3 linked regions of the Mus musculus genome follow. The main gene of each other region encodes a partner of the protein of the gene in region 2 in a complex. Links are inferred from orthologs where the notes say so. Each region holds a gene or a part of one and is shown on either strand. Other genes may lie near its edges.

What was found.
Region 1: Pole (region 2) and Pole3 share a complex: the UniProt entries of both Homo sapiens proteins name them as parts of the DNA polymerase epsilon complex. The link is inferred for Mus musculus from reciprocal best matches to the Homo sapiens genes POLE and POLE3.
Region 3: Pole (region 2) and Pole4 share a complex: the UniProt entries of both Homo sapiens proteins name them as parts of the DNA polymerase epsilon complex. The link is inferred for Mus musculus from reciprocal best matches to the Homo sapiens genes POLE and POLE4.

Annotation. Positions count from the first base shown.
Region 1 is NC_000070.6:62,523,197-62,526,448, forward strand, and holds Pole3 (DNA polymerase epsilon subunit 3), read right to left. Parts: upstream 1,819-3,252; 5' UTR 1,801-1,818; coding exon 1,735-1,800; intron 1,640-1,734; coding exon 1,554-1,639; intron 1,241-1,553; coding exon 1,122-1,240; intron 915-1,121; coding exon 748-914; 3' UTR 602-747; downstream 1-601. Other genes in the region: 4933430I17Rik (uncharacterized protein C9orf43 homolog), read left to right, coding at 2,622-2,682. UniProt on the Homo sapiens protein: Accessory component of the DNA polymerase epsilon complex. Participates in DNA repair and in chromosomal DNA replication.
Region 2 is NC_000071.6:110,334,527-110,337,992, forward strand, and holds the end of Pole (DNA polymerase epsilon catalytic subunit A), read left to right. Parts: coding exon 1-90; intron 91-1,313; coding exon 1,314-1,514; intron 1,515-1,847; coding exon 1,848-1,973; intron 1,974-2,431; coding exon 2,432-2,521; intron 2,522-2,605; coding exon 2,606-2,719; 3' UTR 2,720-2,927; downstream 2,928-3,466. UniProt on the Homo sapiens protein: Catalytic component of the DNA polymerase epsilon complex. Participates in chromosomal DNA replication.
Region 3 is NC_000072.6:82,650,037-82,654,420, reverse strand, and holds the start of Pole4 (DNA polymerase epsilon subunit 4), read left to right. Parts: upstream 1-1,555; 5' UTR 1,556-1,581; coding exon 1,582-1,797; intron 1,798-2,253; coding exon 2,254-2,338; intron 2,339-2,942; coding exon 2,943-2,984; intron 2,985-4,384. UniProt on the Homo sapiens protein: Accessory component of the DNA polymerase epsilon complex. Participates in DNA repair and in chromosomal DNA replication.

The sequences.
Region 1 (3,252 bases), on a different chromosome or scaffold from region 2:
GTAGCACTAGGACCTACCATGGCAGGCACTGAGTTACCTCCAAGATTAAGCCCCTGCTTTTAAGAATTGGCACCTTTTTTGACAGATTCTAATCAACACTCAGAATTAAAGAGTGTGTGTCCTATGAGTGCAGCCACCCCAGACGACTGAGCATCTACAGTCACTAGAGGACTACAAAGCTAAGTAAGTCTAGAAAGCCAGACACCAAGTAAGTAATGCTACCATCAGGTGAAGACATTTCCTCGTTCGCTCGCTCACAGCTCCTTAGTCATCTCCTAGAGAGCAGCCATTCTAAGCACGAGTTCCTATGGTCAACTACTGTACAGTCAAACTGGGTGACCAGGCTCAAAGCCCCATTGTTTCCCCCTGAGCCTTTAGTGCTTCTGTGACTTGGAACACTGCAGGCAACATGGATGTTATTACTTATTCAGAGGGGCAGGGAAATGGGATCAGAAACTAGCTAGCCATATACTTTAAGTAGACAAGCAATACCAAACTATGTAGTCACTCAGAATCGCTTATTCAAAAACATCCTAACCTGCAGACTGATGACGCATGACCGGTTTCTGTAACTCAGATGCTCTGAGCCTGGGAAGAGTTCTTTTTGATCTTTCTGGTCAGCTTTTATTTTGATCTCAGGCACCAGTGCCGAAGATGGCTCTGCCTTGCAGGGAAAGCCTTCACACAGACATGTCTCAGGATCTCAGGGTCCCCTCCACCACGCCACAGTCTGCCTACTCTCTCCATTCAGTTGTCTATTTCCTCCTCTTCGTTCTGGTCGTCCTCGTCCAGTCTCTCTTCATCCTCCTCCTCCTCCTCTCTGCTTTTGTCTTGCTCTTCGGAATCCTTTTTGTCTTTGTCCTTCTTCTTTTGCTCCGAAGCCTCCTTCTTGCCTTTCTGCTCCCGCCTGTACGCTGTAAGGAAGCAGGATATTATGGTTTAATTAGACAAACCGAGGCACAGGTGGAATAACCAGGCCCCTATCACATACCCGAGATGGTACCAACTAAACAGAGGGGAGTTATGACCAGTCCTGTATTATTGAACGGGACTTAATGGCACTGATACTGATGAGCATTTTTTTTATATATGGTTTAAGAGACAGAAGAGTACGTGGATACCTTCTAGAGCTTCTTTCAATGGTGTTATGAATCGCTGGAATTCCATCTCTTCCATGGCTGACAGCACGTCACTGGCATTGAGAGTCTTGCGCTTTCCTTTCATTGCGAAGTTATTGGCACTGGAAGAAAGAGCAACGCCCTTCAGAAGCTGTCAGAGTGGGTGGAGGCATGACCCCCAGGAATGGGGTGGGAAAGCCGTATTTATCGTAGATGAATGGATTGTGTGTGTGTGTGGCATGGCTCAGTTCATCCCCTTCCCATACAAAGGGCTACGGTAACCGTCTTGTTTAACCTGCTCCAGAATGTGTGACAACTGGAAGAGAGCCGTAAGTCGCTCTCTACTGAGGCAGGGAACTGGGGCCTGTAGGTTCCAGGCCACGAACGCGGGGTCAGGATCCCGCTGCGCCTCCCTTCAGCCTCTGCTCAGCTCACCAGGATGTGGCATACAAAACGAAGACACTGGCGGCGCGGGAGATGGCGCTTCGGGCCTCCTTGGAGATGTTGACACCGTCCGGGAGCTGCGAGGAGAGTGGAGATGAACACACACGCGGATTCTGTTAACCTTCTGCCCACACGTCCGCCCTCGACCCATTCGCCAGCCCGAGCGGCTCACCGCCTCCTTGATGATCCTGGTGATGACGGCGTTGGGCAGATTTAGGTCCTCGGGCCTCTCCGCCATTGCCTCCGCTGGGGCCCGACCCTCCTGCTCAGGTCTCCAGACAGTTCTGGTGTCTGGACTTCCCGCGTCGCTAAAATATGACCCTCGGAGGCTTCCGTCCTACCCCACGTTGCCAGTGTCCCACAGTGCTTTGCGCACCACAGCCTCTCTGCTACATCAGCCCCGCCACAAGTCCCCAGTGTAGCCCAGCTTTCCATGTCGCAATGGTTTAGGACCATTGAAATTTCCATCCGCTTCCACGGCATCCCGGACGTTCCACTCCAGGCTTGTTTCTCTACTACACATCGCGAGAGCTTTCGCACCACACTAAGTTTGACTCTCTGAGGTTTCCGTCGATTCTCCCAGCGTGCCGTTCGCCGCTGCTAGGCAACCGTGTGGCCTGGTGCCTAGCTTGGAAAGGGTAGGCGTAGACTGAGCCGGGAGAGGCGGGACTCGGACTGCCAAGTGGGCGGGGCTCTCTATAAGAGGTGGGCGGGGCCAAAGCTTTAACGCGCTTTCGCAATCTCAGCATTGTCTCCAGAGGCTCAGAACGTAGTAACTCTTTGGAATCTGCTTTGATCCCGCAAAATCGCGAACGACTGACACTTGAGTGCCCACCGCCCTTTTTTTTTTTTTTTTTTTTTGGCTCGGAACTCAGTGTAGATTTTCATTCAATTCTATTGCACCGATTGATGCAGTAGTATTGTCCATCTTTAATCTTATGCCCTTCACAACTTTGTGATAATTATATTAAGGATAAGTGTTAATCTAAAATTTCGTTTAAAAAAATGCCATTACTTTACTAGGACAGCAGTAACAAGGGCAATATCAAAAGACGCCTGATGAGACTTCGGAGCTCAATTTGGTCTGGTTCGGTACTGAAAGCGCAAGAATCATTTGATTGTAAGAATAATGCATTGTATTCTCATTCAAAAACCCAAGTTAAAGTTGTATTTTTTAAATCATTAAGTGATTCATTGTATATTTTTCTTATCAAAAATCATCACTTGATTTTACATTTTCAATGTTGCTTTAAGTTGTATAATTAAGTACTGAAAAAAATACTCCTACTGAGAACTAATGCTGGATTATTTCCTTCTTTTCTTTTCTTTTCTTTTCTTTTCTTTTCTTTTCTTTTCTTTTCTCTTTTCTTTCCTTCCTTCCTTCCTTCCTTCATATCTCTCTCTCTCTCTCTCTCTCTCTCTTTCTTTCTTTTTAAAACATGTTGTTCCAAAACGTGTTTTTTTTAAAATTTTTGATGGGGACATTACAAAGAAGTTTTTCCCTATTTGGAGAAACAAAACAAAAACAACCCGACAGGGTTGGGATGATGAACAATACTGAGGGATTGTTCTGGTGGAAAGAACTCTGCACTTAGAACAGGCCTGGATTAAAGATGTCATAAGCCTTAGTTCCAGCCACTATTTATCTAGAACTGGTGCTGTCAGGCCTTGTGATCTAGGAGAGAAGCCA
Region 2 (3,466 bases):
ACTGAGCCCTCAGAGATGTTCCCCGTCCTCCCTGGTTCACACTTGCTGCTCAATAATCCTGCTCTGGAGTTCATCAAATATGTGTGCAAGGTGAGGGCCAGGTATAAGTCCTTCAGTCATTCCATCAGCATTTGCTGGGTCTCTATCCAATGCAACCCTTGTTGAGGGATTTGAGCTTAGGTATTACAGAAGAAGCCCTCTCTGATAGATCCTAAGCCTGGCGATAAACCATGAGAGACTGGTTAGTTCAGATTCTGGAGGTCCTGGAACCAGGCACAGAGGCTCTGGAGTAGGAGAGCAGAATGCTGGGAAAGCTATAGCCCACGGAAGTGGAAGGAGTCCATGATCGCCAGTCACAGTGGGCCTGGTGAGCCAGAACAGACCTGAGACCAAATGAGGTGACAGAGCTTGTTTTCTGGGAAAGGCGGGCCCACATGGTGAGATGATACTACCCCTGCCCATGCGGGGTTATTACTCAAAGCACTTATTGTTCATTGTGCCATCTGAGCATCCCAGCGCTTCACTCTGAAGCTGAGCACTGAATATCAAGTGACTACACCTCAGGGTTTAACATGGTAAGCTGGGGATGTTTCTTCTCCACAGATGCACTTTGGACAGTCACTGACCTCTTTCCCAGAAAACAAGCTATAATGAACTGCACATTAGATCTGTGGTCCATTTTTAGTTCATCTTTACAGTGTATACACAAGTTTCCAGGGTGTTCAGTTCCAGAGCTCTTTTCCATTGGATATTTACACCCTTTCAAAGCACAATTGGACTGGACACGTTGGCTTACACCTGCAGTCCAGGGACTGCTAAGGCAGGTAGCAGGACCAGTTTGAGGACAGTCTGTATCTTCAGAAGCTAGCGAGTAAGACTCTGTCTTTAAAAAAATAACAACAAACAAACAAACAAACAAAAAAGCCTCATTTGGGCTTCTTTATTTTTAGATTCTGTATTTTTTTGCACATTGATGCTAGTATTTATATGGGCTGTTTTTGTCCATTCTTATGGTGGTAACAGCCTGTGTCTTTGTGTGGTATTAGGGTGATGTTGACCTCCTAGGACCAATGAGGGTCTCCTCCCTCTTTAGCTTCTGGAAGGTATTGTGTAGAATCAATGATGTTTCCTTCATCAGTGAAGACTCTACTCACTGACAGAGTTGCTACTGTAGAGAATCAGCTCTTCCTGGAGCTTCCAGATGGGAAGAAGGGCTAAACGGTGCTGGGAGATGAGCTAAGAAGGGGCACTTGGTCCAGCCAGAATGGTAAAGAGGCTTAGGGCTACTTCATGAAGGTCTGTGGTCCCCATAGGTACTATCTCTGGATACAAACATCACAAATCAGGTGAATAAGCTGAACAGAGACCTTCTTCGCCTGGTAGACGTTGGTGAATTCTCTGAGGAGGCCCAGTTCAGAGACCCCTGCCACTCCTACGTGCTCCCTGAGGTAATCTGCCACAGCTGTAATTTCTGCCGAGACCTGGACCTGTGCAAAGATTCCTCTTTCTCTCAGGTGAGCTCAGCTGATGATCAAAACTTCTAAATGTCCAAAGTGGTTGGGACATGTAGCCCAACCTGTAATATACAACATATTACCTCAGTGACTCATTTATGGATTAAAAATAGGCCACCCCTAAGCCACTCCACTGTAACGTGCTAAAAATTTGTTCTGAAAGGTCTGATCAGCACAAACCAAAAGCTCAGGCTGTATGGAATGCAGCCAAGAGTAGTGATGGTTTCCTTTGCCCCTGCACTCTCTGCATCTTCCCTTTACACCAGCCTTCTATTGCCCAGCTGGGCCCTGGCTTCCACTCACTGACATCTAAGCCTTCCTCCCATTTCCCAGGATGGAGCCATCCTGCCTCAGTGGCTCTGCTCCAATTGTCAAGCCCCCTATGACTCCTCTGCCATTGAGTCAGCCTTGGTGGAAGCCCTGCAGAGGAAACTGATGGCCTTCACACTTCAGGACCTGGTGAGCTCCCTAGTCCACCCAGGAGTTTCCAAGCACTATCAACATTTCAGAGAAGCCAAGATCATGTTTAGATCCTGACTGCCCTAGGAGGGAATCCTCATCCATGGACCTCGCCCACTCATTCTGTCCTCATCATTGATACCTTCTGTGGGCAGATGGGCCTGTCCAGTGGAGGGAGATAAACCACAGACAGTAAAGATGTCAGTGGTAGAGTGCAGGAGCAGAGCAGAAAAGCTTCAGCAGTTTAGGAGGACCTGAGCAGAGTCCTTGAACAAATCCCTGGGCAACTATTAGGACAGAGCCAACTGGGACACGGGACCCTCCCAGACCTTGGTAGTCCAGGTTGAGGATACCCACAGCAAGGTGGGCATTTTGGAGAAGGAATTGGCAAGAGTTGAATAACTTGAATTTTGTCAAGCACTGAGTCCTGAAATGATGGTGCTGCTTGCTTGTTTCAGGTATGCCTCAAGTGCCGTGGTATGAAAGAGACCCATATGCCTGTGTACTGCAGCTGCGCAGGGGACTTTACTCTCACCATCCGCACTGAGGTGAGCCATTCTCACACTCACTATAGGGATTTCCTCTCCCGTCTGAGTAAAACCCAGAGTCATTGTGTCTGTCTGTTCCTACAGGTCTTCATGGAACAGATTAGAATCTTCCAGAACATTGCCAAGTACTACAGCATGTCATATCTCCAGGAGACCATAGAATGGCTGTTACAGACAAGCCCTGTATCAAACTGTTAGCAAGCCTAGGCTAAAGACACTTTGGTATCCCACACCTACTGCCTGCTCCAAAAGGCAGAACCACTGACCACCTTGCTTTTCCAAACTCATGAGCACAGCCCAGAAGGAACAGAAGACTTCTGCTAACGTCATCATGCCATAAACAGACAGAAGCAGGGAATGGCTCTATCCCTAGCTGCCTGCTAAGTAAACACGGTTTTGAAGCGTCTGTTTTATGCTTCCACACAAAGCTCTTCTGCCTCTCGTCTGAGCATGAGATATGTTCTAAGATGAGGTAAGGGTGTGGGCAGAGAAGACACAGAAGCCAGTGCAAAACCCTGACTCTGACCAGAGTCTTGCTTATTTTCAGACAAATAAGCCTTTCCATCAGCTTCATGGGTATAGAATTCAGTCTGCTTTCTGGGAAATCCAGAAACATAGAAGCCGGGTGTGGTGGCACACGCTTTAATCCCAGCACTCGGGAGGCAGAGGCAGGAGGATTTCTGAGTTTGAGGCCAGCCTGGTCTACAAAGTGAGTTCCAGAACAGCCAGGGCTACACAGGGAAACCCTGTCTTGAAAAACCAAAAAAACAAACAAAAAACCAGAAACATAGACCCAGGGGTTTTTCTTCAGAGCAAAGTATGAAGAGGGTTATCTGTCACCCAGTGTCTTGAGTGAGACCTGGTGCTCTGTCCAGAACAGGGCTGAGACAGGCCTAAACTAAACACCTTTGATCTGCCTAGTCTATGTGGAAAACCCACTCTTTG
Region 3 (4,384 bases), on a different chromosome or scaffold from region 2:
ACAGTCTGTGGCTCACTCATAGCTGTAAATAAAATTACTTACCTGCATCAATAGTACAGGCATTATGACTAAACATTAATATTTATATAAAGCAATTAACTAGGTACACAGTGTTCTTATTATGCCTTATATTAAAAATTTAGTGTGTGTTGGATGCATTTGTTGGTATAAAGGCCCAAGGTCCACAAGCTCACTGATTTGGTTCGGCTAGCTTAGCTGGCCAAAGAACTTAAGCAATCCTGTTCTCTTAGTGCAGAAGTTACAGGAGTTCTATCACACTAGCCTTTTACTGTGTTCTGGTGATTCGAACTCAGGTCCTTGATGAGCAGCATACACTTTACTGAGTTGTCTCTCTTGCCTATTGCGAATATTTGCCACACTTCCATGCCAGATCTCTGGTTCGGTATGAGAACTCATAGGTAAGAAGAGGCAGGGAGAGGCTTCTTGGAGATCCTTTGCAGAGGCCGGCGAGGTCAAAGCGATTTTCTGTTTTAAAGATAGGGCCTTACTATGTCGTCCTCGCTGGCTTGGGAACTCCCTCTGTACACCAGGCTGGTTTCAAAGAGCATGATGTGCTTTTGCTACTTGAGTGCTTATATTAAAGGCGTGCACCACCACACCTGGTAAAAGTTATCTTAATCTTAGTCATTCTCATTCTCTCAAGAAGGTGCAGTGGAATTTTCCATAACTATGCAAAAAAACAGATAGTAAAATGTTGAGAAGCAGCTAGACGATCAAATTGTTTTCTAAAGGAGACATTAATTTTTTTCTCATCAATTTTTGTTTTTGTTTTGTTTTGTTGGTTTTGGTTTTTTCGAGACAGGGTTTCTCTGTGTAGCCCTGGCTGTCCTCGAACTCACTTTGTGGACCAGGCTGGCCTCGAACTCAGAAATCCGCCTGCCTCTGCCTCCCAAGTGCTGGGATTAAAGGCGTGTGCCATCACCGCCCCGCCAATTTTTGTTTTTGAAAAGTTACTTGTCATGATAATGTTTTGCCAACACTACATACTAGTATTTTAAAACATAAACCCTATGCAATTAATGTTCCTAGAGAACACAGTTTTTAGTTTTGTTGTTTTGAGTAAGGAGATCAGTGTTCTGAGCTAACCCTTGTTTGACCAACCACAGACAAAACTTGCTCTCCGTGTCTGCACGCCTTTTTTGCAGTGGTTTCCTCCCACTAAACCGCACTTCCAATTCTGCCCGTCAAACGTCCCATTCCACCTAAAACATGATCCCCGGCGCTGGCCCGGGTCTGTCGCTGCGCGGGGCAGCGTTGTGGGGACACCCACGGGTTCCCCTCCTGTTGGCCTAGAGGTTAAACTCAGCACCTACTGAGGCTCTAGAGAAGCATCCGGACTTCCGGCTCAGCTAGGCCACGCCCGGCCGCTTCCAGGCTGTGGCCGCCCGGAAGAGTACATCAGACCCCGGAGTCAGAGGGGGCGGTTCTGGCGCGCCACGCCTAGTGAGGGTGGGGCCACGCCCACACGGAGAGGCGTGGTCTCTACCCGGCGCGGGAAAGGGGCCGAAATCGCGTGCGCGCGCTCAGTCAGCGACCGCGCGCCACACGTTTCGGGAGGGGATGGCGGCAGCGGCGGCTGCTGGGAGCGGGACGCCCAGAGAGGAAGAGGCTCCCGGAGGGGAGGCAGCGGCTTCGCAGGCCCAAGCCCCGACGAGTGCACCCGGGGGAGTTCGCCTCTCGAGGCTGCCTCTGGCGAGAGTAAAGGCCTTGGTGAAGGCAGACCCTGACGTAACGCTGGCGGGACAGGAAGCCATCTTTATCCTGGCGCGTGCCGCGGTGCGACGGGGAAGCAAGGGCGCCTGGGTCGGGGAAAGGGGCGTGGCATCTAGGGGGCGTGGCGCTAGGGGGCGTGGCGGGCCCTGGTACGCCGACCTGACTTGACTGAGACCTAGGAAGGCCTCTGTGGGCCCCGTTTGAGTTGGTTAGCCACTCTCCTCTTCACGAGGACCCACGCAAATTTAGTTTGCATGGCTCCCACGGCTCACACAGAACTTGAAGGGGATCCTAATGAATGAGTAGGGTGGATTTGGAGATATTAGAGCAGGGGGATTGGAGCTATGGAGAGGGATAGCAGAAGTATTTTCATAAGTTCAGTACAATGGTAGCTTCTAGAACTTTCCTGTGTGGTAGAGTTCCCCCTTTACCCTTCTTGTCCACGTCTACACAGGATTGCTCATCTCAGTGGGCTAGAGTCCACTAATCTCTGCTTGCTTTTTTTTTTTTTTGTTGCAGGAACTGTTCGTGGAGACTATCGCAAAAGATGCCTACTGCTGTGCTCAACAAGGAAAGAGGAAAACTCTCCAGAGGAGAGATTTGGGTAGAGTCGCTGTGGTACCCCAGGGTGGACAGGGGAGCTATGGGCTGGGCTTTCTTATAGCTGTTTCACAAGGCATCATTGAAGCAAGGGGAAATTTGGCTTTTGGTTTATTTGTCTACCTGGTAACCCTTCCACATGTGTAAGCCTTTAGAGACTGTACCTCTCATTCCCTTCTATGCTGCCAAACTCTTTTTCTAGTATCTTTTTTTTTTGTTTTTGTTTTTCGAGACAGGGTTTCTCTGCAGCCCTGGCTGTCCTGGAACTCACTCTGTAGACCAGGCTGGCCTCGAACTCAGAAATTCACCTGCCTCAGTCTCCCAAGTGCTGGGATTAAAGGCGTGCACCACCACGCCCGGCCTTGTTCTAGTGTCTTTAGAGTAGAGAGAAAAGTGAATTTTGGAATAAGACAGGATTGTAGGATGCCTTGAACAGCATTTTCGCTGGCTTTTGAGGTGAGACAGTTAAAAGAATAGTGAGTGTAAAGATGGATCTTAGGACCTCTGGGTTACAGTTTGTAAGTGATGTCATTTGCATAAAATTCCATGTTGGGTCTGATGTCTGAATGGCAAGAGCCAATCAAGTATCCCTTTACCTTGTGTTTCAGATAATGCAATAGAAGCTGTGGATGAATTCGCTTTTCTAGAAGGTGAGTTCACTGCCTGCACAGACTATTTCTCTGTTGATGATGTGAGCTTCAAACCTTATAAAACCTTATAAAACAGATGTGTGGTTTTCCTTTGTATACATGGCAGCAATTCTCCCTGTTTTGATAGAAAAAAAAGGAACATTTTCCATTCTTGGGGAATTAGAAATTCTACAGGGAAATTGCAAGCTTAAAAGAAGAAGGAGGGAGTATATAAATTACCAGTAGAATTGGATTTAGATTTTGAATCCTGTTTATATCTCCAAACTAAATATTAATATTGCTCCTTTATAATGTTAAGAATTAGAAACAATTTGTAACTTTTTTTAAGATTCCTTTTTATTTACGTGTATGTGTGTTTCTATATGCCAAATGTATGTAGGTACCCCCATAAGAGCCAGAAGAGTAGTGTGAGCTGCTAAACATGGGTGCTGTGAACAGGGCTTCTGGAAGAGCAGCAAGCACTTTTTTGTTTTGTTTTTGCTCTATTTGAGACTTGGGTTTCTCTGTGTAGCCCTGGCTCTCCTGGAATTCACTCTGTAGACCAAGCTGGCCTTGAATTCGCAGAGATCCTAGAACTACTTGCCTCTACCTCCAGAGTGCTGGGATTAAAGGTGTGCTTCACAACTGCCTGCTGATGAGCATGAGGTCTTTTTTGTTGTTATTTTTTCGAGACAGGATTTCTCTGTATAGCCCTGGCTGTCCTGGAACTTACTCTGTAGACCAGGCTGGCCTCGAACTCAGAAATCCTCCTGCCTCTGCCTCCCGAGTGCTGGGATTAAAGGCGTGCGCCACTACCGCCCAGCTAGCAAGAGGTCTTAATCACTGAGTCATCTCTCCACCCTCAGTTCCTAACTTAAGACAGGGTCTTATATAGCTCAGACTAGCCTTGAACTCTCACTGTGTAGCTGAGAGTGACCTTGAATTCCTTTTCTGTCTTCACCTCCAAAATGCTAGTAATAATAATGATAAGTCAATACATACATAAATAGGCATATGCCACCTTGTCTGACGCTGAAATATTTTCTTCTTTTTTCACTCTGTTCTGCTTCTCTGTGTTAACCTTTGCCCATGGCACTCTTTAGATGTTCTCTTTGATATCTTCTAAGATCTCTCTCCAATGTCTGCTTCAAGTCTAGATTTTTGAGTATTCTCTTTGAGTTGTAGATTTTGTTTTTCCACCTATTTGTCTTAAAAATAACTTGAATTAGTTGCCCAACTTGTTTTATAGTCCAGTGTATGGTCATCCTTGGTGGTGGTCTTTATATTCTTGAAGAGAAAGTACTCTATTCTGTTCTGCTTGCTTGTTTTATCAGTTGCTGAGTAAGAATTGTCCATTAAATTCTCCTACCACAACTGTAGATTATTTTCACTTGAATTTTTGATTCTGTTTATTTTGTAAG